4 linked regions of the Lepisosteus oculatus genome follow. The protein of the gene in region 1 interacts with the protein of each later gene in a pairwise test. Links are inferred from orthologs where the notes say so. Each region holds a gene or a part of one and is shown in the gene's direction. Other genes may lie near its edges.

What was found.
Region 2: the proteins of rgs2 (region 1) and nipsnap1 interact in a two-hybrid assay, tested with the Homo sapiens proteins (2 studies listed by BioGRID and IntAct). The link is inferred for Lepisosteus oculatus from reciprocal best matches to the Homo sapiens genes RGS2 and NIPSNAP1.
Region 3: the proteins of rgs2 (region 1) and git1 interact in a two-hybrid assay, tested with the Homo sapiens proteins (2 studies listed by BioGRID and IntAct). The link is inferred for Lepisosteus oculatus from reciprocal best matches to the Homo sapiens genes RGS2 and GIT1.
Region 4: the proteins of rgs2 (region 1) and lrfn1 interact in a two-hybrid assay, tested with the Homo sapiens proteins (2 studies listed by BioGRID and IntAct). The link is inferred for Lepisosteus oculatus from reciprocal best matches to the Homo sapiens genes RGS2 and LRFN1.

What each region holds. Positions count from the first base shown.
Region 1 is NC_090704.1:12,398,880-12,406,727, reverse strand, and holds rgs2 (regulator of G-protein signaling 2), read left to right. Parts: upstream 1-4,537; 5' UTR 4,538-4,629; coding exon 4,630-4,739; intron 4,740-4,990; coding exon 4,991-5,077; intron 5,078-5,235; coding exon 5,236-5,297; intron 5,298-5,636; coding exon 5,637-5,803; intron 5,804-6,169; coding exon 6,170-6,364; 3' UTR 6,365-7,696; downstream 7,697-7,848. UniProt on the Homo sapiens protein: Regulates G protein-coupled receptor signaling cascades. Inhibits signal transduction by increasing the GTPase activity of G protein alpha subunits, thereby driving them into their inactive GDP-bound form.
Region 2 is NC_090717.1:4,647,121-4,654,619, forward strand, and holds the start of nipsnap1 (protein NipSnap homolog 1), read left to right. Parts: upstream 1-4,350; 5' UTR 4,351-4,556; coding exon 4,557-4,639; intron 4,640-5,403; coding exon 5,404-5,522; intron 5,523-5,744; coding exon 5,745-5,790; intron 5,791-6,077; coding exon 6,078-6,172; intron 6,173-6,528; coding exon 6,529-6,599; intron 6,600-7,499. Other genes in the region: lrrc74b (leucine-rich repeat-containing protein 74B), read left to right, coding at 103-218, 953-1,031, 1,326-1,421, 1,669-1,791, 2,573-2,701, 2,808-2,893, 3,276-3,306.
Region 3 is NC_090721.1:10,575,517-10,583,154, reverse strand, and holds the start of git1 (ARF GTPase-activating protein GIT1), read left to right. Parts: upstream 1-4,483; 5' UTR 4,484-5,345; coding exon 5,346-5,397; intron 5,398-7,638. Other genes in the region: ankrd13b (ankyrin repeat domain-containing protein 13B), read right to left, coding at 2,078-2,185. UniProt on the Homo sapiens protein: GTPase-activating protein for ADP ribosylation factor family members, including ARF1.
Region 4 is NC_090698.1:3,518,665-3,526,423, reverse strand, and holds the start of lrfn1 (leucine-rich repeat and fibronectin type III domain-containing protein 1), read left to right. Parts: upstream 1-4,483; 5' UTR 4,484-6,622; intron 6,623-7,759. UniProt on the Homo sapiens protein: Promotes neurite outgrowth in hippocampal neurons. Involved in the regulation and maintenance of excitatory synapses. Induces the clustering of excitatory postsynaptic proteins, including DLG4, DLGAP1, GRIA1 and GRIN1.

The sequences.
Region 1 (7,848 bases):
TTATTAATGTATCCCTTTATATGAAACAAACTTTCAGTATATGTGTTTACTAGTATAAACTTCCTTATCTGAGTTTATGAACTCATGCAAATAAGTTTGCATTGCGATTCCTTTGGCAGCCAGCTTTTATTTACAATTTGAATAATGTGGATTAATACAAAGCTGGTATTGATGTCAAAGCCTGTTACAGATATATTTGCATTACATCATTTAGGAAATGGAAAAAGTACAGTTTGTAGAGCACAGATGCTGTAAACACCTTGTGTAAGGAACCAATTTAAATCAATGACTTATGCATTGTGAAGCAGTGAAAAGCACTTTCAAATCCAAAATCAAATTAATATTGTTTATTTTCAGTTTTCCTTAGCAGTTTATTCAGTTCATGCCAGGTTACAAGCAGTTTGGTATGCTCTGACCATGCAAGTATTTAATGAGGCATTTTGAAGTTCACGCATTAATCAGCTGTAGGCGGTGTGAAAGGAAACAATTTACACATACTGTAAAAGAAGAAAAACAAAATGGAAAAAGAGTTTGTTAGTTTATGGTGGGACTGAAGAGGTGGTCTTATTTTAAAACAAATGCAGACATCTCTGCCTACTCATGTAATGCACTCACAGCTCGGCACACGAAAGGTCACAACTAAAGGTTTGCAGACTGCATACCTCAGAAATACGTGGGCTGTATTGTTTCCAATGCTCTTTCAAACAAATTACAAAGTAAATAAGCATTCTTCATATTAGTTGTGTTTCTTTTTAAAACAAACTTGAACATTTTGGTATTATGACATTCAAGAACCCCATAAATGACAAGCTACAAAACACAGTAAGTATATTTACTTTCAGGAGCATTTAATTTTTTTTTCAGTTTTAAGATCTAATATGAAAAATGGGGAAGAAGTCATAAAGTTGTTGGTGTTCATTTTCTTTTCTTTTTTTTTTCTTTTGACTTTTTCTTTTTGTTTTAAGAACATACAAACACAGATTCCCAAGTCCGCAATTGAACCCAGGCCCTCAGCATCATGAGACAGCAATACTAATACTGCACCACCACGCTGTCCTATGATGATAATGATGATGATGTAGTAGTAGTAGTAGTAGTAGTAGTAGTAGTAGTAGTAGTAGTAGTTTGCAAGATGTCAGAGAAAGATTTGTTTGCATGGAGTTAAATTGCAGTCATTATGTACAGTCAGAGTAACCTGAATGTACTAAAGGCTTTAAACATTTATAGATTTCAAAATTATAACAACTAAATTACATAGAATATTAAGGTTGAGGTATATCATCTTAATTTTAATACAAAGGAAAATGAGTCATTAGTGTAATTTTTTAATGTTTTCTAGTATAGTACTCGGTAGACTACGATTAGAGGCACTCCCTGTCAGACAGCAGTCTTAGTAGAATTTAATGATGGTGGACAGAGAGGCTCAAAATGTCCTAAGATTTTCACAATTTCTGATAAAAATAATTCCATTGTGATTTTCATTGTGTTGTGTTCCTTCTTTCTTTGACTGTTTTCAGTTTAGGGCTTTAATAGACTTAATCAGGTTTCTCTAAGAATTACCATCTATTTTCCCCTCTTGATAAAATTTTCAGTCCCTGGTGATGAGTGGCAGCCACATAAAATAAAACACCTTGCTTTATAGTAGAGATGGTGTTGCCTTAGTGATGCTCTGAGTTCAGTTTGCTCCAGACATAACTCTCAAATTTAAGTTAAAAAAAATTGTGTCATTTGTGTTTGTTCCAAAAATATTTTGCCATGTCTCTTAAATGCACAGTGTCGTACACTTAATGCAGGATTTGAGATGGTTTTGCAACACAGGCCAGCTTTGTGGAATGATCAGGATATTAACAGTAACTGCTGTTACTGTTGGTCTCATGGTGGCATTCCTAACCAGATTCCTTTTGCCCAGCTGTTCAGTTTGGAGGAACAGCCTGATCTAGCCTAGCCTATTGGTTGGGTGGTACTATACACTTTTCTCTTTGAAATAATCAACTTCACCCTGTTTAAAGGGACATTCACTGTTTTTTATTTTTGCACCCTTCTCCCGATCTGTGACTTTCGCCACCTTTATCCCCAAGACATTTTTAAAGCTTCCTGGTGTTCATGGACTATCTCATTGGGAGAACTTACAGAGACTGGTATATTTATGCTGAAAGCATGTGAACCACTGTTATTGCACACAGAGGCCATTGAATTGAACACGTAACTTTTCAAAGTAATTTAAGTAGTTTGTCAAAGGGATTAAATACTTAACCTAACAACGAAGTGCAGTGTTTTATTTTTCTTTCTGGTTTCTGGTTTCTGGTTAATGCTGACAAGATTAAGATTACAAAAATCACTGTAAAAGTGTATACATTAATTACACCAGGTGCACTTCAGGTGCTGTGTATCACTGCCTCCCTTATAAAATTCTTTTAAAATGGTAATGCTGAGGTGGTAACATTTGACACGATCAAGACAAAGTTCAGAATTTTGAAATCTAGACTGTTAACAGATGATTCTTTTGCAAAAATTAAAACAAAAAAGAAACTTTTTAAGTACTGTTGCAGAAATGCTACTTATTGTGAAGTTCTAAAACATTAACCTCCTTGTGACACAAACATTATTTCAGGGTAAAAGTGGTGGGCTCCTGCAGTTGCCGAAATTAACCACATCTTTTTTGTTTCACTGTAGCAATGACCTGTGGCTCATGAAGAAAACAGTTCTATCTTTCGACAGCATTCATTTTGTGCAGTATCTGTAACATTCAGTGGCACATGAAGCAAATGTGAGCTGAGATTCATGTTTTCAAAATGGAATGAAACCTCCTGTGTAATACAAGAGGCTCTCCATTGTACTTCAGCCAACAAAATGTTTGACCACAACAGCAGTATTACCTCTACAATCTGGGAATAACTCGTTCAAACTCAAGTCTGTCACTATCCTATAGCCAGTAGGCAGGAAGCTTGAAGTCCCTAGTGCCATTATTAAACTAACTGCATGGTCACTGCATAAGATTAATTACAGCTGGCTAGACGTTTCTCGGCTTAATTCACATTGTCAACTCCTCAGTGCTACAGGAAACCTGCAGGATACTGGTGTATTGACAGGGTGTGGCGTCATGCCCTTATGAGTTTCTGTTTAGGATTGCAGTTGGAAAGGAAATGATTGTCTAAATGAGTGTATGTCCTGCGTACAACTTTGAGGTGTCATTTTCCACAGGTCAGATCAGGAGCAGAGCCCACGTCAGTCTGCAAATTATTTGGTGATTATAATTACATCATTTGATAAATTACATATGAGATTATGATGCATGTTTTTCTTAGATATGTTAGTCTATTCATTTTTTAACCAGCTTTTCCAGTTCCTGGTCGCAGCGGAGCTACTGTGCTGGCCCGTTTTTGATCATTTTGAAATGTGATTTTTTTCATTTATCTCACTTCTAAATAGAGCCTGTGCCCTTGATTTGTTAGGGTTATAAATATTTGTCACATAAAATAACTGGCATTTTCATTTCACCTTTTCACCTTGAATAGGTCAAAGGGTAGTGTATTTCTACTGCGTACTATACATATTATTGTCATGGCCTGTTAGGAGAACTCTGACGTGGCTCAGAGAGTTGCATCAGTCACTATTTGTGCTTTGACCACAGCTTTTAATGTTCCGAAAAATCCTGTAGATTCATAAGGATGGTCATATTTTCCTAAGGGTAAAACCACTATAAAATTTTATGACTGTGTTAATATTTACCCAGGTTATACTGTAGTTCCCTGATTCAAACAATACTGTTAACAGATCCTCTGCACTTAACACATTTAGCTTTCAAGGAAAATATACATATTTTCAAACAAAAGTATAATCAAAGTTTTTCACAGGGGTTTTGGGCAGTCAGAGGTGACAGTATTTGCAATAATTAACAATTGAAAATGAAGCTACAAATGAAAAATAAGTAAAAATATGAGGGCTTAAAAATCAGGTAATAGGACTTCAGCAGGAACCAAAGTAGGACTTTGAACTCTGTTGTTTCATCTCTGATTTTTTTATTAGTCGTCCCCATGAATGAACAACAGAAGAACGGACTTAAAATGAAACCTTTACTTCATGGGCAAATTGTCCCCCACAAAGATTCAAACTTAAAAAATAAAAAATAAAATTTAAATGAAAAAATGAAAAGGCATAAAGGACCTTTTAAAACATGAGAAGCACATAACTTGTCAAGAGAAGTGAGCATTGTGTTTTCCATGGGAAAAAAAAAAAGGTTTCTGTTTCTACCACAACCAACTATAGACAGACTCCAATGCCAAATTCACCAGTGTAGATAGCAAGCATGAAGAAACTGAATTACAGCTATGCTCATCTGATAAAGCAAAGTGTTAATTTTCTGTACTTTAGCAAGAGTTACGCCTGTGCTTTGCCTGTGGCAGTACTTTGTGTACTTTATACGTCACAGCTGTACCCTAGTGAGAACTTTTCTTACTCAAGTAACACATAGAACAATTTGTCACCAGGCAGCCAATGGTTTTCCAGAGCAGGTACATGTAAATCTAACACCGCCTCCATGTCTGAAACGCTACACAGAGGACATAAAGCTCCACACAAACCAGATTGAAAAAGACAGTGAGGTCTGTAGGAAGTATTTGTGAATAAAGGATGCAGAGTACATTATTTTTGCCCCTGTTGTACAGCTCAGAACAAATGGATATGGCTTGCTTTAGCGGTGAAGAGATGTCAGAGGTCCCAGTTGAAAACAAGAGAAACAAGTAAGTATCTAAATAATGATAACATTTGCATTTTCACTATGATTTATAGATTCTTCTACAGTGTGCAAGAGTGGAAAATATGGCATAAATATGCTTATATAATTTTTAGCAGTACATACTGTACAATGCAGTGTAGTGTTTAACTATAATCATATACTACAACTAGGAACTAGAGGTAATAATAAGAAGAGAAGCTGTATACAAGGACAGATACAGATACCTATAATGTGGCATTTTGTTTCCAATAACAGACAAAATAACTGGAGATCAAGGATAAGCTACTTCTTGCAAAAATCCTCCTCTAAGGAAGCCCATTCCTCAAGACGTAAAGCCTACAGGTAACATATACAATCAGATTTTAAACTTTTTGAAAGATATGTTTAAGAATACATGTTAATTATATATGGCTTACTGTGGGATTTTAATTTTGCATCTGAGTGTTATTGATGACACTCAGTGAAATTTCATTCTAAAAAATCATGTTCTTTCATGACAGACCTACAGTTGAAGAAGTAAACCAATGGAGTCAGTCTCTTGAAAAACTTCTGTCACATAAATGTAAGTTTTGTTTTCTTTCTTTATCATGTCAAGGATTTTGAAGTGAATATGCTAGACATCAGAGCGGGGCCTAAGTCAACAGGGCACAGGAATTTGTTTCTGTCATTTGTCTCTCAATTAATATATGTGCATTAACAGAAAAAAGTGAAACAGAGAAACAATGCTACACACATGCTGCAGTGGGCTTATGATTAAAGTGGCTTTGTGTAAGCTTTGTGTTACTGCTTGGTTTTGCAAGTACGTTTACAATGTTTTTCTGTCTACATTATAGTATTTGTTCGATAAGATGTTTATTTTTTCCTTCCTTTTAAAAGTATTATTTTCTCTCATGTATTGCAGATGGACAGGCTGCATTCCGGATATTCCTGAAATCAGAGTTCTGTGAAGAGAATATCGAGTTCTGGCTTGCCTGTGAAGATTTTAGAAAGATCAAGTCACCAGCGAAGCGAGCCTCTAGGGCAAATACAATTTATAACAAATTCATCAAGAGTGAGGCCCCAAAAGAGGTCAGTATGCATTTAATGACATTATTAAAAAATGTTTCGAATGGGTAGCTGCATCAGCATGCGTAGGCTTTAAAGGAACAAGTAATAGGTTTATTCCATGCTGAAAATGTTGTTTCGGCCATGGAGCTCACACCTGAAGAAGGCTCCACGGCTGAAACGTTGTGTTTTCTTTCTTCTCTTTTCAGCATGGAATAAACTTATTACTTGATTATTTAAAAATGACTACATTACTGACACCTTTAATTCCTACATGCTCTACTCTCTTACTTAAATATAATTTCTTTAAAAGTGTATTTATTATATATGGAATAAAATTCTTTAGAAATATTCTGACTTCTTATATCTGCTATTATTTATTTGTTTCAGATCAATTTGGATTTTCATACAAAAGATACCATCATCCAGAATCTTCAGGTGCCAATGACCTCTTGCTTTAATGCTGCACAGAAAAGAGTCTACAACCTAATGGAGAATAATTCATACCCACGATTTTTACAGTCAGAAATCTACAAAGAACTGTGGGCAATATCTCAAGGGAAAGGGAAATACCTGAAATCATGAACCACACCGGGGGCTTGCATAGTTTGAAAGCCTAAGGAGCCATAGCCTATGGCTATGGAGTTTGCATAGCCAGATTGCAGAAAATACTGTACTGAAAACAGTATCCACATCACCACAGAACTCTATGTTTTTAAAAGATCCCTTGTGAGTCCAAGGAGAAAGTTCACTGTGTGATATGAGCTGTTTTTAAAACAAAGGTAATAGGTGACCATAGAGGATGACTATAAAATTTCAGTCATAAAAAGCTTTAGGTAAAGATGCATGTAAAACAAACTTAATAACAATTTATGTATTTATGTATATACTTTCAATTTCAAGTTATTTTGTAAATTAAGTAATTCTTCCATGAGCAGTACAGTAACTAGAAAAAATTATAACCAAAAAAAGAATATATGTTTACACTAAAGTGCCTGAAACTGTATGAAAAGTCAAACATATTAAGTTAATTTGTGGAATGGTATATGAGCAAGTTACATTTTCTAGTACTTTTTCTGCTGGTCCACATGGAACCCAATTCATACCGCTAAAGACAGGTAATCACTTGATTCCAAGCATTCCTTGACTTGTAATAAGTCATGGCCAAAAATAGCTACATACTGTACATCCCATCACAATGAACAGTTTACATACTGTATAATTACTGACACAACATTTGTTTTCCAAATACGGATTGATCTTAAGAAAGAGCCCGTAAACAGAGTCCGTAAACAGTGTTTAAAGGGTAACTCTACACTTTTCAGAAATTATAATTTTAATAAGAGTTTTATTTCGTTCATTTACATGAATGATTTAATTCTTTATCTAAGACATGGCTTACATTTTAGTATTATACTGTAATTTGAAGCATTTAAAAATTCATTTCAGGAACAACAACTTCCTGTTTCTTTGAATAACAGAATTTAAATGGAAAATGAATAAAGAGTGTGTTTCCTGAACCTCAGGCAAATAAGTCAAGAATGTGAATGTACTGAATTATATATATATATATTCTTTATTATATTTTTATTTTTATTTTGTATCTTTTATTTTCTTTAGAATTTTACAAAATCACAATTGAGGTTGATTCTCAAGAGCTCATACTTATTGAATCCCCAAGTAAATGTTAAAAACACAGGAATATGTAACTGTAGGCTGCTATGTTTTTACATTAACAATTACATTTGATGATTGGATATATGACTTTCTGAACATACAGTAAACAATATTTTAGACTCAAACTGAAACAGCAGCTGGACTGCAAGTTAGTTATATTAACTTATTTTTATACTGTTGTAACAATTTACCTGGTCTGTATATTTTGTCTTCTAAATACATTTTCTTCATAATCTTGTACACCTCATTGTTGATTCAGTGTTATTGCTGCATTTAATTGCCTGTTCCATGTTTTTAAGCCCGTGGAAGGATTTATGGAGATAATCGATAAAAAAGTACAGATTGTCTTAGAGAAAAAGTGAAATCCCTAATTTGATAGACACCATCACCTA
Region 2 (7,499 bases), on another chromosome or scaffold:
CATACTTGTCTTTATATCTTAGTACTTTGTAAAATAAACATATTACATCTAACATAATAGTTTATAAATACACCTTATTTGACTATCATATTTTCATTTTAGGCAAACATATTTCTTCGAAAGCTAGACCTGTCGTACAATGGATTTGGGAAAGATGGAGCTGCAGCTCTCGGTGAAGCTCTTAAGGTGAACAATGTGCTTGAAGATTTGAACATCAGGTACAGTACAGTATGTGAAAGTAGAGTCTGAACTCAGATGAATGCCCACCATCCAATGAAAGTGTATTTCACTGTAAACTTAACTTTTGTCTCCCTCTTTCTGCTGATTTTAGCATAGCATGAAGAAACATGTAAAGTCTTTAAGTACCGACTGACATTATTAACTTACTGAAGAAAACTGTGTGCTTGAAAATGTCTATCCGGTGTAGATGGAAAGTTTTATACCTGTGCAACTCCTAGGAATAAATGCTGTAAATAGGTGTTTTTTCTGGTGAAAATTGAAGCGGACAGGCATGTCTCAGTAGTTGAATTTGAATTTGTTATAAAATACTACAACATGTTTCTATGTTTTAAAGAACGTGTTTCTAAAACAGGTGCCTGAGGGGTCTTGCATCTTTATCACAGCCAGAGCAGCCAATTAAAGAAACAATCTAATTATTTTCTTATTTCAAATCCATTGGATTTTTCCTGAGGTGTTTTACTGTTTATTACTCAGAGCATTCATGTCATTATGTGTGCAATTGCTGATAAAACACCTACGGATCTAGATAAAAGTATTAAAATTACATATTTAATTAATTAGACAGACTGTGCGACACAAGAGCTGGAAAACTACGAAAAGACGACATAATGACACCAAACCCTCCGGGAACTGAAGTTGAAACCCCTGCTTTAAAGATTTTGTCTTGCTCCCGTTTCCAAAGCTATCATTTTCTTGCATGTATCTGTTTTAGTAACAATCAGATCCCTCCTGAAGGTGCAGTGCGCTTTGCCATGGGACTCAAAGAAAACAAGACACTGAAGATCCTTAGTGTAAGATGTGAAATCTCTTACTTTTGAAATAATTCCTACGGTGTCCCCCGTACAGTAGATATGGGCACATAACACACCTGTTATTTTAGCTTGACATATCAAGCCATTTGTATTTTCTTTTTAAATAACCCTCTATACAATTCAGCAACAGTTATAGTTATAGGTACAGTTTTGAAAAGTAAGAATAGACTGACGTTAAGTACATGGGCCCCCTACAGAAATCTTAGATATCTACTTTACCATAAAGATTATTTAGGGATTAAAGGCACATTTCTTTCCCTTTCTCTTTTCTAGATGTCTCGAAATCCAATGCAGAGTGCTGGCTGTTATGGGATACTAAAATCAATGGAAGGGAACCCTGAATCTGCCATCGAGACCCTGGACTTCTCTGTACTACACCTTCGGCTTTAATTTGATTTTAGAATTATTCATATATATTTACTTTTCGTTGATGGCACAACTGTTGCTCTCAGTTACTGTTTTCTTCACGTCCTCATGCAAAACAATACACATCCTACAGAATGTTACGGATAACAGACATATTACATATTAAAATAGTTTGCTGTTATACTATTACTGTCCTTGTTTGAATGGGTGTGTGCATACTAATCAACGTTCTGTGTATATTTTTTCTCAGGACATCATCGTGAACAAGGATTTTGATGAATTGTACAACAAAGTCAAAGAAATGTTTCCGAACCTGCAGGTGAAACACGAAAGAAATGCAGACAGCTTTTCTTTCAAAACATCTAAAGTCCCAGTAAGTTGCTCAGCGAACAGCTTGTTGACGGACTGCAACTACTGTACAACACTCCACCTCGGGGAATATTATAACAGAATATGAATATTAATCTGTACTGCTAAAAACGCATAAAGCAATTTTATTTGTAACAGGGTAAAACAGACCCCCTTCTAGCGCAAGAATGATACTCAGAAGATAAAACCACCTGTCGAATCTATGAAAACGGTATATAATTATAGGTCAATGGTTTTTGTCGAATAAATACAGTCATCAGCCGACAAGGAAAAATTAAAGGTTAATTTCATCCTGAAAAGTAGGAAAAAACCACAATGTTTCGGCTGTTGAGTCTTAGTGTTAGAGTTATAGTTCTATATCTTTCTACTTGGAATTAACCTCCACTTGCTAGTTAGATTTTTTTTGTGTGTGTTCCAACTGCCTGTACAGTCATGCATAGATTTGAGATATATGTAGATGAAATGATAGAAAAATCTGTCTTTTTTAAAATTTTTACATCAAAAACATCCATCCATCCCTGCAATAGAGTATCAGAAAACCGCTTATTCATAACGAGGATCAACCTGTAACCTGTCCCAGAAGAATAGGGTGCAAGGAGGGAAGTTGCAAAAAGATCTGACATAAACAACATACTGTAGAAACTGTCACATCAATGCATAAATTACTGCAAGAAATATGGCTGTATTAAACGATAGCAGCTACAGAATCGAATCAATGGATGATTGCTGGACCTGCAATGAATGAGCAAACAATATCCAACCTCAAGTGCTCCTGTCACCTCTAGAAAGATCCCTTAGGAAAACTGAAGTATCACATAAAAAAGAACAACTTGAAGCTTGAGGATTCTTTTGACTCTGTGGAAGAGGGTGGAAGTGCTCTCATCACTAGAGCAGAGTTTCAGCTGGGACTCAAGGTTAGTAAACGCACAGCGCCTCTGTCATAAACCTGGAATGTGTAACATTATTACCATATAAATTGCCATTGCTCAAAAGCTCATGAGTGTTTTTTGTTTGATGCAGGGGATAGGAACCTGTTTAACCATGGAAGAAGTGCAGCAACTCATGGATGATCTTGATAAGGACAACTGTGGTGAGATTGACTTCAGGTACACTGAAATAATCTTTGTAACACCTTTTAGAGGAGTCTTAGCTGCACACTTTTGAACAAGCATATATTAATATGAAGAAAGCTAATGAGCCTTCTGAAGATACTGATTAGTTAGGATGTGTAGTCTAAAACATTTTTATGTTGTGTAGTATTTGAATGTGTCTGAGAGCCATGTGCTGTCCATATACTGCTATAGTGTACAGTATTAGATAGAGGCAAAAAACAAAACAATATTCTTTTGGTAATACAAATAATCCAGATGTGAGGAAATGAAACTGATTTCTCCTTCCTTTCTGTTTTTCTTGTGTTCTCTGGTTTAGTTTTATAATAGCCCCAGAGTGATGTGAGTTTACAACTGTTTTTGTTTTTCTGTTTTTCAGAGAGTTTAGCACATTGCTGAAGAAAGCTTAACACCGCATACTGTATCTGTCTATTATCGTGGGTACCTTGGACCGCTCTGGCATTTTGCACGAATAATAAAAAGATCACAATGTTGACTGTTTCTCCTTGTCTCCTTGTGTTTGAATCTTCTTTCGTCCCTTCACAAGTGGTGCATGTGTTTGTAACAGATTTAATGTTTTGTCCCCACAAAAAAAGCAACAGAATTGAATAAGTCAATAAGAGCATAAGAAGTGAATAAGTAAATTAAATTATAAATTGTTTCAGATTCATCTGAAAGTGTGAGTTATTTTCAACCTTACACAGGATAATAAAACACTTTCAAGTTCTAATATGAATACTGTATATATTATTCCTCTTTATGATTAGCTTAACGTACATTAGGAAAACACATCTTATTTACTTACTGTAGGTTATTGGGGAAACAGCAGAATGGTTAAGTCTGGGTGCCGAACACAAAAACACAGAGGTGTTGCAGTTTGTTAACAATAGTGCAACAGAAATTATACTGTACATGATGTTTCATATTAACAATGATAAGGTAGAAAAGTAAGCCTAGAGCAGGGTATGTGGTTTTGTTAAAAATAAATTAAGATAATGTAATGGATAATATTATTTGTGGGTGGGACTAGTTAATATTAGAATGACCAACATACATCTAAGTAACATAATTTTCTTAGTTATCCCGTGTATACGACAAATTAAAAAACATAATGCATACTGGCATGATAAGAGAACAGTATTTACATTTAGTAGCAGTACAAAGACTTTTACTAATTAATATACAGTATGATTAAGGACGGAAATAAATACATTCGTGTGCATCATTCACACTGTAAATGTATTAATAATTTGTTTTGTTCATAGAACGTGTTATTTTGATTTTGATTACATAACTTGTTTATTTTTTATTATTGTATATTAAAGACCATAGAGAGAGGTTTATATTACACACAGTGGGAAAAAAACAATAATTATAGGACATTATAAAAAAACAGTTGTTTGTAAGAGCCAGGCATACAGCCATTGGCTTGTTATTTTAGAGTCAATGAATCGATCTCCGTTGCGAAGATATTTTGTTCCTTAGTTATATTCAGGATCACGTCACTTGAACGTGTGCAACCTTTGAGCAGGAACTAAACTCGAGTGATTTGGGTGAATGTGACACACGGATCTACACGTGCGACACATCCAGAAACCACTGCAATTTCAGCCAGTATTTTTCTTTTAAATAAAGCACAGCGTTTTTAAAACACTAGAAGATGGCGGCGACGTGGTTTTTAAAACTGCCCAAACCCCAGCAATTACTGTGTAAGAATACTTTGGGGCTGTTCATCTTTAAAAGGTAAAGCCGAACTAGTTGCAAGGTTTAACAGAGAGCATGGTTTTGTTAAATATATATGTTTATTCTGCTGTTTATAGACTCCTGTCACTGCAGTGTTTTGTGCTTAGAAACGAAGGTGAAAGATGTGCCTGCAGGTGCATTGCAAATGCTCGTGTCCTGACGTTAGACAGGACGTTACACGTTTTCTAAAAGAAAAAAAAAAGAAAATGTATGATATTTTTAATTATGGCAGCTTCTTTGATCGGAAGGGTTCAGGCGCTCCGGTTGTAAAATACAATGAATGATGTTGTTGACCAGTTGTTAACAAAACAAATGGTTTCTGACCGTAATGGAGTCGATTCATTTTTCATTTTCCTATTTAGTAGTTGGTGTTCTAGGAAATAGCACGAAAGCTCACTAAATTACTATTCCGTGCAGATGTGAGGAAATGAAACACATTGAGAAAGGTCTAATGTCTAAGTCAATCGTTTTCCTGGTTCCTGAACTTTGCCCCTCGGGGCAGTAGGCGCTATCACATGACCACTACAGTTGATGTACTGAACAGGGAGTAGCCAGTGCTGAAAAACATCTGAAGTGGGCAATACTCAGCAATCAATTAGACTTATTTGTTGTGAGCTGCTTATTGGAAACATGCCGTCTTGGCAAACATACCTTTGACTGAAGCCTCTGAGACAGGCAAAATCAGAAATCGGTGTTTGTCTTGAAACATTGTTTATCAATATGTTTCTCACCCTACACCCCTTATCCGTCTCCCCATTTAATAGAGGTCTTGCAGACAAAAGCTGGTTCCAGTCTTTGTTTGTGCATAAAGTTGATCCCAGGAAAGATGCCCACTCCAACCTGCTGTCAAAAAAAGAGACCAGCAACCTGTACAAAATACAGTGTGAGTACAGATGACCTCAAATGGTGCTGCTGTTTCTTCAGGTAGTTTTTGAATTTATGCAGAATAATGCCACTGTTAAAATTCTGTAAAGCACTGTGTGCACTGGATTTCTCAATAACAACAACCCAACCATTCATATACAATATACACCCTGCACCCATGCAAACAGACTCTACTACAAACTCTTTGTGACTAAGCAGATTCTTTTCCTTCCTATTTCAGTTCACAATGTGAAACCAGAGTACCTAGACGCCTATAACAACTTATCGTAAGTAGTACATTGTATTTTATATTTTGACTCATTCACGCTTAGTTTAATCACTTCAGAGGATTATGGAGTCACCTTCATGGTGGTGAATGTGTATTTTATACATTTCAGAAGGGTCCACTGTGGTTTAGCTTATGCAGTTAATTTTTTAAAATCCACCAGTAATTAGCAATGACTTCATGATTATTATCAGTATGATTTACTCAGGTATTTCTTGCTCTGATCACACTTTCGGTGATAGAAGGAGTTCGAGTGTCAATTGTGGCATTGTTGTCTGTGGCCTGCAGAGCTGAGGTTCAGAACCGACTGCACTGTGACAAGGACTATCCTTGTGAGATAGTGGGAAGCTGGAACACTTGGTATGGGGAACAAGACCAAGCTGGTAAGTGTTTTCTGTAGCTCATTCAGTACTGCATTGAGCTCATGGCATACGTATTATACAAAAGCGTAGGAGATTTGTCATATGTTCACTATCCATCCATATTTATGGCACTTGACCAAAGTTGTAAAACGGACCCTTTTTTGTAGCTTTCTGCGTGATCAGTATGGTTATAGTAGTTCAGGTGGGTATTAAATGGTTATATGCTGATCTGCTGTTTCTCCTTGAAACAGAATACAAAGACGGGTGAAAAACCCGTGTTTGTATTCTTCAAGTGGTAAGGGTAAGTAATAGCGACCCCTGCTGTTTTCCAGTGGTAGGACAAAGCAATAGTTACCTGTGCTGTTCTGCTGTTGCAGTGCACCTCTGGCGATACTCTGGGGGTTATCCAGCCTTGACTGAATGTTTAAACAAGTTGTGGCAGGATAAGGTATGGAACTGGTTCTTGTTTTTTCCTTCATATTATAATTGATGGTCACTGATATTTGTTTCTGTTTGTCACTGTATGTGGTTCTTCTGTTGTTGGTGTGTTGACTGCATACAAAGGTAAGAGAAAGTTAAATCAAATTAATTGGTGAGGTTCTGGCTAAGCGTGTATATACAGGTACCTCTGTTTTGGTGACTTTACTGGAAACAATTCAGATATTGGAGAAACAGCATCATAAAGTTGAATATTAATAGTTTTAGGTAGTTGTCTTCAGGGATGAATTGATACATAACTACTAAAGATCCCAAGGTGTATAAATAGGCTTGCTCACTGTCACTTCTCTGGAAAGGATTTATAAAAATACATCACACCCCAGAAAATGCACTAAAAACACCAAGTAAACAATATGCAATAGTTATCATACTGTATGAGGTTACATAGTATACATTCTCTCTTCCTGTGGATTAAAGATATTTAGGCAGTCCATGTAGATTTAAAGAATGTCAAGAATCTCTTGTGAATGGAACATTGGTCTTCTAAAGTAACCTTGGTTTTTTTTTTTGTGATTTTGTTTTGCTCCTGTGATGATGCTCGTGTCATGTTTAGAAAGTGTTAAAGAAGTCAAATAGTGAAGTGTATGCATTCTGAATTACTCTGCTGTGCAAAAGTCTTTGGTGTCTTGGATGACAAGAGTTAAAATATGTGATTGTTATGAGCATCAGCAATGTACTGATGCCTTCATTAGTGTTTTCTTCTATGAAAATTACATTGAATGTTATTGAGCACATTGAATGCTTAGTTTAGATGAGAAGAAACCAAGCTTGTCACTTATTTTTCAATTCACATTGATTTTTAAAAAACTCACAGTGGTTCAATTGTAAATGTGAATATCCAATATAAAGT
Region 3 (7,638 bases), on another chromosome or scaffold:
CCCCACAATCGCAATGAATCGTTTTTGCTCACTGTGGCACGTGTAGTGCTTTTTCAAGGTCTTTTGAAGTCGAGGAATTAAAAGCCGCAGCTAGCTGAGGCTATGTGCGTGGGGAGCGTACTGGCGCACTATGGCTGCCGTTGCATCATCCAGGTGGGGCTGCACACTGGTGGTGGTGGAGGGGATCCCCATTACCCGTAAAGCGCTTTTGAGTGGAGTGTCTAGAAAAGCGCTATATAAGTGTAAGCAATTATTATTATTATTATTTTGTCAGCTATGAAAGCTTGACTGGCCGGGATAGAAGTGTTCGATCGAATTGGATCCCAGCAGCTCAGCAGCGAGGGCTGGGGCAGAAACTGGGACTGTGTCTGACAGGGCTGGACTAGACCCCCCTCCTCCCGGGGGGCTGGATTATGGCGGGTGTCCGCACCAGGCGCTCCCCAGCTCATGGGATACACGGTGCTGTCCAGACAGGTCTCCCCCTCCCCTCCTCCCTGCCCACAGCCCTGCTCTCTGACTGCACCACCACTGCCCCCGGCCTGCTGTCCAGTCCGGCAAAGAAGAAGATCCAGAGGAAGACAGGAAAGTCAGGAAGTCAAGGATAATAATAATAATAATAATAATAATAATAATAATAATAATAATTGCTTACACTTATATAGCGCTTTTCTGGACACTCCACTCAAAGCGCTTTACAGGTAATGGGGATCCCCTCCACCACTAATGTGCAGCATCCACCTGGATGATGCCGACAAGGGGTACCTACAGGACGTGATCTGTGATGTTCCCACTGGGAAACACAATCATCTTCCCCTGCGCCATCACCCTGCGAGCGATCGTGACGAGGAGATACAGCTCGGACCCCAGGACCAGGAGCGGGTCTTCGGCTCTCCCCCACAATCGTCACCCCGACCCCAGGCCACGCGTCAGAAAATACACACACCCCTACCCCCTACCATGCCATCGCCTCGACTTAGCTCATCCGTCTGTGTCTGGCAAAAAGGCTGGGCGACTTCCTGCATCTAAAAACGCTGTCGGCGCTGATCAGGCGCTGAAACTGCTCTATCGCTCCTCTCGCGCATTTGGAAAGCGCTGTGTGTAGTCATCCGTCCTGCGCCCAGTCTATAGCCTGCACCATGCAGAGAATCTCTTATGTAAGTCGTTTCAGAACCAGAGACGAGGGAAGATTCTCAGTGCCTTTCCTGGTCGCGTTACAAAGCCTGTCTGTCATTCCAGCCCGGTGTCTTATCCATTAGGCCCGCAGTCTGTGCATTATCCCCAACGCCGAGATGTCAGGCTTCGGTTGTGTTTTTTGGTGTTATGCTAAGTACTACATTACATTTAGTTAAATAAATGAGGCGCACGTTTCTTCCAGTGAGCTGTACTGCAATATATATAATGAGACTTCACTCCGTGCACAGAAGCAGGCACACTCTCACTACCCAGATGAAATGACTAAATCCACCTGCCACAGCCCCAGCCTGCCACACGGCTCGTGCCGCGAGGTGCCGGCTCGCCCGTCCACGCGCTGCCCCTCGCCCACCTGCCGGGCTGCACCGCACTGCCTCGCGCGGCTCGCGAGCTGCCGCGGCCCCCGCTTCACCACGCGCGCTCAACCCGCTGAAACCCGCAGGACCGTCGCCAACTTCTCTCGGACCCGCGCCGCGGAGAAGGCAGGCAGCGGACGGGCGATGGCAGCCCGTTGTGTTTTTCGGGGTTGCGAGCGCGGAGGCTCCCGATGCAATTCGAAGCCGTTACCGGTCTGCCGGTCCCCCGCCTCCGAGCCCCGAGCCCCGCTCGGACAGCCTTGGCGACGCTCAGTTGCATTTCTGCACCGGCGGCATCGCGGCTGCGTGCGGCGATAGTGACAGGAGACCCCAGCCGGCAAGCGACATCGTGTCTGCTGCCGTGCCGCCCCTCTCGACGAAACGCCAGACGATGCCGCTCTATCAGACCAGACTCCCTCGATCCCGAAATCGTTCGCCACCGCTTTTCGCGCTGTCTTCCCCACAGCCTGGGCGGCCCCCCGGCTACACCGCCCCAGCCCCGCGGACTGGGGCGCCGAGCTGCGCCTTACCTGCTCCTCCGCGGTCAGCTCCTTCTCCAGCTGGCGATGCCTGTTGTACCACACCAAGGTGTGCAGGGGGTATTTACTTTTCTCCGGAGTTCTCCTTGTGGAAATCATCCTCTGTGCATAGTTCGCTATTCTCTCTCCTCTCTTTTTTCCCCGGTTATTATATTCTCAGGATCGCCGGAGCCGGAATAGCGGCTGGTTACAGGAGCATGATACAGATATAGCGGAATAGATAGAGGGAGCAATTAACGGCCGGGAAATACAAGGCTTTCGAATAGAGATTACAAATAAAAAATAAATACATTCATATGTGACCGACTCGCCTTTCTTGGATTTTCCGATGATTCCACCTTCCTCGCCCCCTCCCTGTCTGTACCCTCTCTCTCTCCCTCCCTCCCTCTCTCTCTCCGTCTCTCGCTCGCTCTGCGAGGATGAGCGGGCGAGGGGAGGATTTTCCGCGTATTGACTCGAGCTGTAAGCAGCTCATCCGGTCTGGCTGGCCGCTGGAGTGACAGGCTGGAGCTGAACATGTTACCCGGCGAAGCACTGCTGCCCCCCGGCTCACAGACACGCGCGGCTGTGGCGGCGTCGTGCGTGTGAATGTGTGAGAGTGAGAGTGTGTGAGTGTGAGTGAGTGTGCAGGGCTCGCCGCCCGCCAGCCCGTGTGTGTGTGAGTGTGAGTGAGTGTGCAGGGCTCACCGCCCGCAGGCTCGCGTGTGTGTGTGAGTGTGTGAGTGTGAGTGAGTGTGCAGGGCTCACCGCCCGCCAGCCCGTGTGTGTGTGTGTGTGAATGAGTGTGAGTGCGTGTGAGTGTGAGTGAGTGTGCAGGGCTCACCGCCCGCCAGCCCGTGTGTGTGTGTGAGTGAGTGAGTGTGTGTGTGTGTGTTTTGTTTCGGGCTGACCGAGCAGACCTGGGCGAGTCGGTCGTGAGGACCGTGTCCAAATGTTGACGCGTCAAATTGAACACGCGGCTCGAGACGCCGGGCTTGCAACATGGTGTGGACGTGGACTCCGCCGTCGCAGCAGCCTGCGTGTATATAGCGCCTTTCTGGGCTGAGGACGCTAGGGCGGTGCCGCCAGTCACAATCACACGCGCGGATCCGATCAGAAGGACATTCCGTTTCCATTCTTCGCTTTCTAGAACAAAACGACGCAGGTGAGACTAGTCAAGGGAGCATAGTTATAAACACAAGAATCAGTTGTCTCTGCAGTTTAATTTCTCTTTTCATAAGTAGCTGCTTTGTTAATGTGGTCGCCGGTGGGGCAGGACGACCCCCCGGGTACCCCCATGAGGGGCTCTAGGCCAGAGGGGCCAGAGGGGGCGCTGTCTCTCCACGCCGCTCCTGGGGGATCTAATCCGTCTGGCGGCCAGTCTGCTTGAAGGACAGGCCAGGGCCAGGCCAGGACACTCAGTAATTCCTCATGGATCGACTTCAAAGCCCCTCGAGACGAGCTCACAGGCGAAATCTTTGTTCCAGCGCGCTGTTTACGCTTTTGCCCGGTCCAAATGTCTGGTCTCCCCGGACCAAAGTAAAATGCTAACCAAGCTTGTGGTTTATCACAGTGCTATGGGATATCTAACGTCTTAAAGACGTCCTTTTAAGTGTTTGAAAAACCGCTTTCCGGCCCAGAGGGTAATATCTTTGATCTTCTACTGCAACATTAAGTGCATGTTACCGCACTTATTTTGAGTGTCTCGGAATCTAAGGGCTTCTGAGTCTCACTTGAGGTCCAATGTCGTGGATCATCTGGACAAAACCCGTGAAGAAAACAGAAAACACTTGAGGACAAACCAGCTTTCAGGGGTATTCCTGACAAACCTCGGAGAAGCCTTTTCGACCGAGGGAAAGTGCGCACGACTTTGAAGGAATTCTTCGATATCATCTCTTTAACACCGGAGCACACAAGTCCAAATTAAGTGGAAGCGCGTTTGAAACTGAAAAGAGGAGACATTTTTATAGGCTTGGGGGATTCTGATGGAAGCTATATGCTGCTGATATCCAGGCTTTTTCCAAGAAGTAGCTGGATGAGACCTTTGGATCAATTAGCTACTGAAAACCAATTATCTAGATGGTCTTCTCGTTTGTAACCGTTCTTAATGTATTTGGTGTTTATAAACGGCTGAATTACCACCGCCTCTTGATACTCCCGAAGGTCTTGGACACCGCTGTGTTTCCAGCGCTTCACGATTAAATACAGCGACTTTTTCGACTCTACGTCAAGACGCAGGGAAACATGCAGGTTCCTCCCAGACGGGGCTACATTTGAAACTACAGTAGCTGCCTACGTAGTTAATCGCAGGTGTCTGTTTTTAATGGGAGTTGCTTGACGGTTTATTGGTGACTCGGCGGTTAGCGCTAGTGCCTCGCAGCTCTTGATCCTGGGTTCAACTCCGCATGTTCACGCACATTGCGGTGGGTTTCCTCCCACCGTCCAAAGGCGAGCTCCTGGGCTGTTAGGTGGGACTGGTCAGGCGTGCTGTAATACGACCTCAACGCCGGCAGTACCGCAAAGAGCAACAGGTGCAAGAAAATATCATTGGATTGTCGTTGATTCTTATGGTGAAAGCAAAACTGAAAGCACGGGTCTATTTTTTTAATTTCTTAAAGTCGAATTATTCATGCATAGGTGAGGGGAGAGAGGGGTGTTCGGAATAAGACAAAGCCGTGTCCGCAATGCTAGCGAGGGAAAACGATCATTGACGCGCTAAATTCGGCTCAGACTGACTGACGGACGGACGGACAGGCAGGCGAAGGCGCAGACAGAGGGACAGGGGCTGCCGTGTGCGGACCCCACCGTGCAGTTAGGAGCCCCCGGGGAGCGGGGAGGCTGTGGACGATATTTGCAGTGATCTCATTGTACTTTGTGGTCTGATGAGCAGCCCCTGGCTGCGATAACGAGCGAACTGAGAGCGACGGTGCCGGAGGAGGAGGGGAGAGCGGCAAGCAGGGGGAAGCCAGGAAAACCGGGGAAAGTGCTGCGCTTTTTCCACGCACGAACACTGCCCTCGCCTCCCTTTCAATGAAATCAATCATCCCAGTTTCCCCTGTAACCCACTTGCTCAGTACGCCGACGCCATATAGGAAAACCGGGGATATTTCTGTGCACTGGGGAGCGAGAAACGCACACACGCAGGCAGAGGCCGGGGAACCTGTTCCGTGCTGTGAGGCTTCCGGGCGATTCGGGAGCAGGGAAGCGGCAGTCCAGCCTTTTTCAGCCCGGGGAACGGAAAGGCGACTAAAATAACAACATTTCAACACCATTGGACACAATGTCCAGGAAAGTGCAAAGAAGCGAGGTCTGCGCCGACTGCAGCGCGCCGGGTAAGATTTTGTTTTTTAAAAGGCGTTGTTAGCAGCTGGTGTTTGGCAACTCGGGGAGGGAAGAGGCACTGGGATGGGAGAGGGTGACCGGAGATGGCGGTCGCATCCCGGGATCGGGGAAATAGGAAAGCGGCCCGGCGCGCTCTGTGGCCTAGATGCCCTTCCACTTGCAGTGACCATTTCTCCCAGTAAAGATTCTGCTGTGGTCGAAAATATACCTATTAACACGAAATCATACGCCACTCGTAGTGTTTAATTGTAGTATTATGTTTATTTTTTTCCAACTGACAAGGCGTTATCCCATTACATTGCGTGTGGTATCTACTGGTATATTTTTAATATTGTACACGTTTATACGAAGCGAGCTGTTCAGGGGAAAGTACGTTAAAAATCTGGGTTTTCAAATAAAACGTCTCCTTTTGTTTTGGGTAACTAGCTAGATTCTCCAGTCTAGCTGGGTAGTTGTTACCTCAATGGGTGTGCGTTACTGGGACATTAAATACCGTGATTACTGAAAGGCGAAATTGTATTATTTCTCATTAACTGCAGTTTTTTTTATTCAATCAGAAGAATAAATGGCAGTTTTAATTGGAATCCGATGTGAAAACAGTTTTGTCGATAAAGACAATTTCCACTGTGTATACCCTAGAGGCCATTACATTATTCCGAAGTCGACTGGTTTTGTAGTAGTAAGCCAGCCGCCTCCGAACATGTCGTTGCCTGCAACGCAATTTACCAGTTTTTGTTGTTTTTAAACCCTCGGAGTTTGAGTGAACCGAGTTCGGCGGATGCCTTTGCAGGCTCCAGAGCCCGGCGACGCCAGACCAGGCGCTGCTGCGCTCGGTAGGTTTTGGGGTCACAGTGTGGGCAGGTTCTTGCCGAGCCCCAGCGCCATACGTGCCGTCACCCTGAGTGACTAAGCAGTTTGTTCTTGTTTTTCGGGGGTCACACCTAGCGCAGGAGTTTGAATCTTTGAAGTGCAGCCATACATTATAAAGTAGTCGAGAAGCTGAGATTTGACAAGACACGGCTGGACGTCTGCCGCCTCCGGTTTCCGGTTTGCACAAGACGGGAGTCTAAATCCTGATTCCTGGAAAGGAAGAGGTTGCGGAGATGTGTTCGTTCTCTGTAAACGCTGTGCAAGGCCCTTCCAGGTTTTGCAGTACGAGCTGTACACGAGTATCAGGTGCAGCAACACTTCACACTTTGAGCCATATTTGGAGTAAATGCTAAAGAAAGAACTGCTGAATCTAAATACTGGGGCACAGTATGCACATTGTTTGCCTGGAGCTGGTCACTCTTGGCACTGGGACCCCAATACACACAAGCACCCCCCAGCCTGGAGCTGGTCACTCTCTGTACTGGGACCCCAATATACACAAGCACCCCCCAGCCTGGGGCTGGTCACTCTTGGCACTGGGACCCCAATACACACAAGCACCCCCCAGCCTGGAGCTGGTCACTCTCTGTACTGGGACCCCAATACACACAAGCACCCCCCATCCTGGAGCTGGTCACTCTTGGCCCTGGGACCCCAATACACACAAGCACCCCCCTGGCCTGGAGCTGGTCACTCTTGGCTCTGGGACCACAGTAGCAGCTGGCTGCGCAGCCCGGTCTGTCTCCCGGCAGCCGACTAGTCTGTCAGAGGGTCTGGAAAGTCGATTTGTTTTTGCGACGACCAGACAAATGTTGAGCTTTTTGAGAGGTGACAGGTTTTCCGGAGAGCATGAACACTCGCACATGCTGTATTCTGTAAGGGTTGGGGGGGGCTTTCAAAGCGCTTTGTTCCACAGTAGATTTTGTTCGGCTTTTTCAAACTCGACTTCCAGATAAAAGAGGCAGAGAGGGAGACAGAGATCCAGTGATATGTGATGGAAAATTGTGATATTCTGCGTAGCAGCTCATCTCCCCTAAGAACTGAGTGAACGCGAGGGGGAATTAAATTAGGATAGATGTGCTGAATTGGGCTAGAGTCGGCAGAGCTGCAGGTGGGGCTGGTCATTGTGTCCTGGCACTGGAGGTCGTGGTGCACGCAGGTGAGAGTGTGGCAAAGTGCACAAGAACATACTTTTGTGCACTTGTGTGCACGTTGCTCACCAGCGGACCTGTGAGAGGGCTCCTGCCGGGCGAGCCCAGCCGCTGGAGTCGGGGGGGGGGTACAGCCGAGCGAGAGATCCACAGCCCTCCCTGCGCGGCACGGGATCAGGCCGGTGGGGGGGTTTCAGTGTGACGTTCAGG
Region 4 (7,759 bases), on another chromosome or scaffold:
TAATAGGTCACCCTTAAATTGTCAATTTGTAAGAAAACACATAGAATGTGAGCTTTGATCCATTCAGTAAGTTAATTGGTTCATTTAAATCAGAGATGGCCAGAAGTGGTCCTTAGGAACTACAGGGTGTTGGTGCTTTCATTTGATCATACAGATCAAATGATCTCTAAACAGCTTAATTGAGGAAGCCATCTGCTTCAGTGAAAAAAATGACGATGTTCCAAGTGTTTAGAAACTGATTATTTAAGGGATACCCATAAGCCGTAGGCTGAATGTATTCTAATGACTGGCTTCAAGAGCTGTTTGCACACACACACACACCCCAAACTATTCTTAAAGTTAAGGAATCATGCAAACATTTCTGTTGGTTTTTTTTTGAGAAAATCAAAAGGAAATAAGCTTGAAATTTTAGAGAATACATCTTATTTATTCGAGAGTCTATGTTTCATTTTTAAAAATCTTATAACAATAATTGGGGCTTCCATCACTGTTGGCAGACTCATATTGTTCATCTGTAAGGCGCAGAAGTAAATAAATAGACCTCGTCCTGTAGGCATTGCAGCTTATTGACTTCTAAAGGCGTGAAATGCACAACATTCTCCAATGTCTTTTGCTACAAATGTGTTGTCAGCTATCTAATCAGTCTAATTTATAAGGTTCTGTTTTACTAAATAAATTATTTACTCTGGTATTGATTTGTAGACAAAGCCACTGAACAAGTGTCTGAAAATAGTTCTCAGAGAATAAAACATTGGTCCTTACAGTCAGAATTCCTCATGTTGTCATAAGGGTAATTGAAGACTGAGCAAGAGCTGTAATGTGCACAACATTGTGTATCTGGATTGCATTCCGAGCTTCAAAAACTAAATCTTCTATTATGCCTAAAGACAGCCAGAACCACTAAAATGAATTTTCTTTCTGCTGCATTCGACTAGAGTTTTTTTCCGAGCTTTTATGACATGTTACAAATACCTGTACATTCAGAAACATTTTCTTCATTTAGCATTTTAAAAAGATTTACAGTGGTGTGCCTTTGCTGGTGTTAACTTACTATCCAGAAGTACTGGTGGCGTACAGCTTCAGTAGTACAGTAACTGCTTTTGATTGATGCTTTCACAGGCAACAATGAGATGAAAGCTCGAGAGGAAGAAGGCAGCAGAAATGTAAGGTTGTCCATATGAAGAGAGGAGGTTTATACCAAATGAGTGATGTCTGATTGACAATTTGTGACCCTTTTCCTGCTCTGTCTGTGCTTTGGATCATACCCCTGGACACCATCTGAGTTTTAGACACTGTCCCAAGATTGAGTGTCATTTTGCTTTATAGTCCAATAGAAATAAAAGGCCTCTTGTCTCACACCACAAATATAAGACCTTTCTGCAAGTTTTCAGATTCTAGGCAATGAGTGCCCCAAACCTCCCATCTGTGCTGTCAAGACACATCCTAACAAACGGCCTTCACACTGATCAGTGTGAGACCAAAGACCTTAGGGCTTTCTCTCTGTATTTGTAATGACCTTCCATGGTTGATATTGATCCTTGCCTGGCCTAATAATATTGGCTGGGTCTTTTTTTTCCTGCTGATGGTTAAGGTAGTCATTAGCAGGTATGTTAGCTGTTATTATGTCAATAATATCATTAGTCTCTGTCTATCTCATATAGGTGCCGATACAGACATAAAACGCTGATACAGCATAAAACTCCTGAAGAACCGTTACACAACAAACATAGCAGCAAAATGTTTGTTTCTTTTAATATTTCTCAGACAAGTCCTCCAACCCTAATTTAGGCTCTGAATCTGGTTGATGTCTTTTCCCCACTACTATAGTATTAGAAAAGGTGACCTGTGAACTGTGCACTGCTGTTAACTGCACAATCGCTTCCTGCAGACCTCAGATTCTGAAAGCATGCAGACAATTTCAGATATAAGAACACTCCAACCGTAGTGTTTCAATTTTACAGGTTTCCAGTTTAAACCGAAAAGGATTCTTTATCATCTTTATTATGTAGGCTTAGTGGGGCATTCTACTCAACTTTACAACATATTTTACAACTTTGATGTCTATAAATATGTATAGTCATTATTTGAAATATAACTATATTGTGTTTTTATGTATAGAAAGATAAAAAATCTGGCTTCTGTCCTAACCTGGACACAGGAACCTTGCTTAAATATAACTTAAATCAGAAAAAGTAAAATATTAAATAATTGGAAATGATAAAGTCATAAAAATATGTAACTATAACAATGTAATATTATGTAATATTAATAATGGAGTGTTCTTTCATTTTTTAGTGAAGTAATAAGATGTTTCAAGAAGGTTATCCAATGTACTCTAAAGTAACTTGTTCTTGCTTTAATAAAGCTTGGTCATGTAAATGCTTTTTCTTGCCAGCAGAGGCGCTCGATCACATTATTTAATTATGTGATTTATCTCGTAATGACTTAATTTAATCTAAAACTTATTAAAAAAAGTGATTAGACTTTATTATCAAATAGGACTACTTAATTCCTCAGAAGTTTTGCATCATCCCCTTTTCTCCTGTCAAACAGCAATAGCTTCGCGTGTCGTTAGCTATTGTGGACGACGTAGATTATTTCCTGAAACAAGAAATGGTAAAGTCCCTCTGACCTTCTCCATCTCTGTGCTCTTCTTTCAAGGCAAGAAATAGCGTTGTTTTTCTCTGTCTGCCCTATCCTTTTAACACCGGAGTTACACCGGAGGAATCTAGAAAAAGCCCTGCTAATGCATCTGTCTCACTCTTGCGCGCACCCTGAAAATAGCGTCTGCGCCCCGTAGGTCTGTCGGCTGTCGCTTATGTCTGAGCCGTGATGAAGTGCAGCACCTCTTTGGTGAAAATCATCGATCGAGAAAAGAGGGGAGCGGTAGGCAGTAGGCAAGGAACGCCCTTCTGTCTCCCCTGTTTGTGCTCGTATGTGTATCCGCACTGGGAGTGCTGCTCCGTGTGTTAGTGCGGCGGGCAGAGGGTTCAGGAAAGTCCCAGACATTGAACTGTTCAGTCAAAAGTGCACGGCACGTATACACGCTCGTGAGCATGGGAAATGTCTGGAAGGTGCTACAGTAGTTTATTTAAGCTGTCCCCCCTTCTTTAATCAAAAATTTAAGTTTTGATTTCAAGATGGCTTTGCGTTCACTTTTACTGTAAAGGTGGACGTTAGTTACACTTCACCTTAGCCTTCCGAAGGTGATAGAGGGGCGCCATTAAAAAAAAAGGCGTTTTGTCAGTATCATTTAATCTTTCTTCCAATTACACGAGTCGGTTACTTGAAGTATTTAAATGCCTCCTGTGTGACTCTTGTAGTTAGGAAGTGAGCAGGGCAGAAGGCAGAAACCATCGACGAGAGTACTTCAGGGCCGTTCTGCGCTGGACAGCTCCTTCACTCGGCGCCGAGCCGGAGCGGGTTCGATCGTCTTGAAACTCCTCGGCTTCCCCGCAAGGCGTTAAGCGCAAATGTGGTATAATATGGTGGGGTTTTTTTTAAAGGAAACATTGCACAAAGTTAGCAATAAGTGTCTGAAGCACTGGAGCAGTGTGTGATTAAGACATTGTTCATTCATTTGACAGCTTTCGTGGAGGTTTATAGCATTCTGGGGAAAATAAATACAGCGACATTGTGGGGAATGGTTTGAATATGCAAACGAGCGTCCCACTGAGCCGCAATCCATCGCATAAACTGTCAGAAAGAAAATGTAAGATCTGTTGTATTTAATGTGCCTGACGATGCCTGTTTAGCTATAGTTCATTCCCTTTGCAGCCGTTTATACAACTGGGCATTTTTAATAGAGCAAGCGGAGTGAAGTACCTTGCTCAAGGTTACAATAGCTCTGTTTTTCACATGGGATTTCGACCCACAACCGTCCAGTTAGGGTCCAAGCCGTTAATCACAGCTCCCCACTGCTGGTACAGTATGTTAGGTTCACCTTCCAAAATATACATTTCTCCGTGCATACATTCCGTTTTCACTTTAGAATCGTACGGTTCAGCCACTATAGATACCAGCTCGGAGCTTTTGTTCACCATGCCACTCAGACACCAGAAGAAATGGTACAGCCGTGTCCCTTCCGGATGAAATCTGGCGTGAGGGTGACAACTCACTTCTGCTGACAAGGTTTGCAAGTCGAGGTACAAGGTACATACAGCCCTTTTCCGAATTGAAAGGGATCCGATAAACTGATTGATAGTGAAGTAATGGCACGGAGGGGCAACATTTCTAATTTCTCTGCTTATGATACTACTGTGTGCACTGTTGCTTCGGGTGAGGGAAGGAATCTCTATGTGATGCAGCTTGAAATAAAAATACAGAGCCTCTTTCTGCACATTTCCTTAGCAATTTATAACCAGTCATCTCAGCACCTCTTCAGGCTAGCGATATACTGAATGTCAGCGCAGCGTCTTTTGAGATCAGTTTTAGCTGGAGTATATGAATGCTAGACCTGGAATGCCTTCATATCTGCCGGCAAGCGACCCGAAACCCCCATCTTCCCTGTGACAGGCGAGCTTTGGGAATAATCTCTCAGACTCGCACATCCTCGCTTAAGCCGCGCGGCAGCGGAGTTCCTAGTGTCTGGTGGGCGCCTTGTCTACGGAGATACTGGAAACTGATTCCAGCTTTTAGTAATTAATCAGCCTCTCGATTTAGCCGATGATTCCCTGTCGCAAGACATCTGCAGGGTTGTTTATTCTTTCGATTCCTTGGCATGTACTGTATAGCGCTGGTCGCCGTAGCCATCCTGCCAGCAGAGCGTCAATCTCTATGTAGTGTTGCTTGCTTCATAGCTTGACAGCAATAAAAAAAAACACACCCCTGCATTCGTATCCGGGACAGTCTCCTAAACCGTCATGCTGTATTTCAAGCAGGAGAAACTACGCTGCCGTGCCGCAGGAATCATTCAGAGCGTCAGGAATCAGCCGAGTGTTTATGCAAAGTTTTGGGATGCGACTGGAATGCCGCAACACTCCCACAACGCATCCGATTCGAGCATCGCCGAGGACAACTGATGTCTTTCTTGCTCTCTTCTTCCGTAGGCTGTGTAGCGCAGGAGCGCGGTAACACCCTGCCGTTCCTCCGGGGCTGGCGGGCTCAACGGCGAGACCGGCGTGTATCCGGAAACAAATAAGGACAAATTACAAGCTCACGCAGCGGCTGGATCGAGCCGCCCAGCCCGTTCTCCGAGACCCGCTGCCAAGCCAAGACACGTCGCTCTGCATTTACAGTGCGTGGTATCAAACCGGGGCTGACCTGCCAGTCCCCCAAACACAAGCCGCTTAAGCGCTTGATTCATTTGATCTTTTTAAAGAGAGGAGTCCCGTTGCAGGATTCCCTCTGGCCAGATCCGGCTTAAATTAACAGGCCTGCCTGGATGCGTGTCATTTTTTCTGCCCTCAGTTCTTTCAAACGCGCGCTGCCCTCTGCCTCCCTGCTCGCTTTCACCCGTGGCGTGAAACTGGAGACAGCAAGCTGATTTCTTCCAAGAAACAGCCCGCTGCGTCCGTGCGGTGGGGGAATGGAGGGCAGCCGGGGGACGGCAACATAGATGCGAGAGCACACGCATGTACACATAGACTGTATACGTGTGCCTGTGCATTTCAAACGCGCTAGCAATGTGCGTGGGTGGGATTCCCTTGTTTGATCCCAAATGAAGTGGAAATCCTCGGGGATCTAGCGCGACGAGGTCTGAGGCATTAAAATGGAGAACTAGCCCGCGCCAGGCTGGTTTGCTCGATCAACCCGTGCTTCCTAAAAGCCGGGAAAGACGCGGAAAATAAGAAGGGGGAAGTAAAGTCTTTCCAGTTTATTCTGTGTTGCGCTGGAGAGTTTCGAATCTCTTCGACGCCAGGACGCCGGGAGAGGACAACGGAGGAAGATCAAATTATCACAAGCTCCTCTGAATCAAACCCCCCCCAGCTGCCGGGTTTCTCTGCGTCTTTTTTTTTAAGAAATCGCTGTCACCAAAGTGTTGTCTATCTGTGATGACAGAGGACTGGACGGTTCCCTGCGTTATCCTTCATTATTATCACAGCTAACCAAGCAAAACGGGAATTACCCAAAGGGTCCGGAGATCATTTTTCGAGACTATACGGAAGAAGGGGCTGTTCGCGACGCTTAGTACCTAAAGGGCATACCTTGTGGTCTGTTCGTTTCTCCTTTTCAGGTGCTATGTGCTTTAGTAGGACATTTGCTCTGGAAGTACAGATCTGGGTTGTGGCTTTTTTACCGCCTCTTCTGTGGACCGGTTTGGAATTAAGGTGCGGTTTTCAATTTAACCTTATGCGGGTTACGGAGATTTTTTTTTCTAATAGCGCTCTGCAGTTTCTTTAATTTCCACTGAGAAGTTTTTGTTTCCCGAGCACACTCTTCTTTATTTTCTTTTTGTTTCTTCTTTGGATACTTAATTTGTGAGGCGCTACTCCTTCACCTATTTGGTTTCCTCGGAGGTACAGACTGTCATTATACACAAGACACCCAAACGGATCCTTTTGCATTCATAGTCGACCGCTCCTTACGACAAGGTGATGATATTTGGAGATTTTGAGGAAATTTACCCACGAGACCAGACTGGACCGCGCCGTATTAAGCAAATTAATGGTCCTTCTCAAAGGTAAATGCTATTCCAGTTCTACCAGTCTTAATCATCGATGAGTACGAGCGATATACTGTATTTGTTTTAGCTCAACTTTATTTTTAATTATGAAATTGCTGTGCATAATGGTAACGTGGAGCAGAGATGCACTGAATGTGCTTCATCGTTAAACTGCGAGAGCTAATCAAGAATTAGGGCGGATTAGGTGTCTTTTCTTGTTACTTAACTATAGAATGTGGTGATACCTCACACTTGTGTGGATCTGCCCTCCCCGTTTAATCTTCCTAATATAACAGGATTAGGAAAGGGTTTAACACCATAAATCAAGACAGTGAAGTGGATCTTCCAGTAAACAAACGAAAAATCTATTAGGAGAGTGTTTACTTTGTATCCAGCTGTGGTTTAATCGTTCAGCACCGCGGATTCTGTCACCTCTTCCTGTTCTGTTGGGCGAGTTCTCCGTGTTACCTAATGGCGTTAGTTAAACCCAGAAGAAAGACGGATCCGGTCCCATTCGCCCAAAAAACTCGACAAATAAACAGTGAGGTGGGGGACCTGTCATCGCCCGGTCTTTCTGTCCTCCCGTCTCTTTTTCTCGCCCAGTAACTGTGTAGTTGAATCTGTGATTATTCAGTCTCTACAGGGTTATAGAGATATATTCCTCAATGATTTCCCCCCGGATGGAACTCTGTGTTGTTGAACCAACATCCAGACAACTTGTTATCCATTTCGTTACCGCCATTCGTGCCCTAAGCGGACTCATCTGTACGGGTTATATAAGGGGTGCTGGTCACAGGGGAGATTCAAATGAAGCGTGTTGTGCGGTGTGAGCTGGGATCAATGATCTAAGACCGATCCAGGAAGTCTGCATGAACACTACTCCTCTACCTTGCATTGATTCTGAAACGGATCCCGCGTCTCCTTAGGGAGATGGCATCTAGGGTTGCCAGCTGGCACACTGAGACAGGGGAGGCTTTGCTGTTTGCCTCTAAACTGAAACCAATTCCCGTCTAAAGTAAGCAGAATGGCATTGTTGGTTGATTTTCATGTTGTCAATCAGAGATTCCCCTTATCAGATGGCCAGATCAGCTGATCCTCATTACTGGCTTCTTGCACATTAGCAAGATGTATGATTTAACACCCGGCCTCCACCGC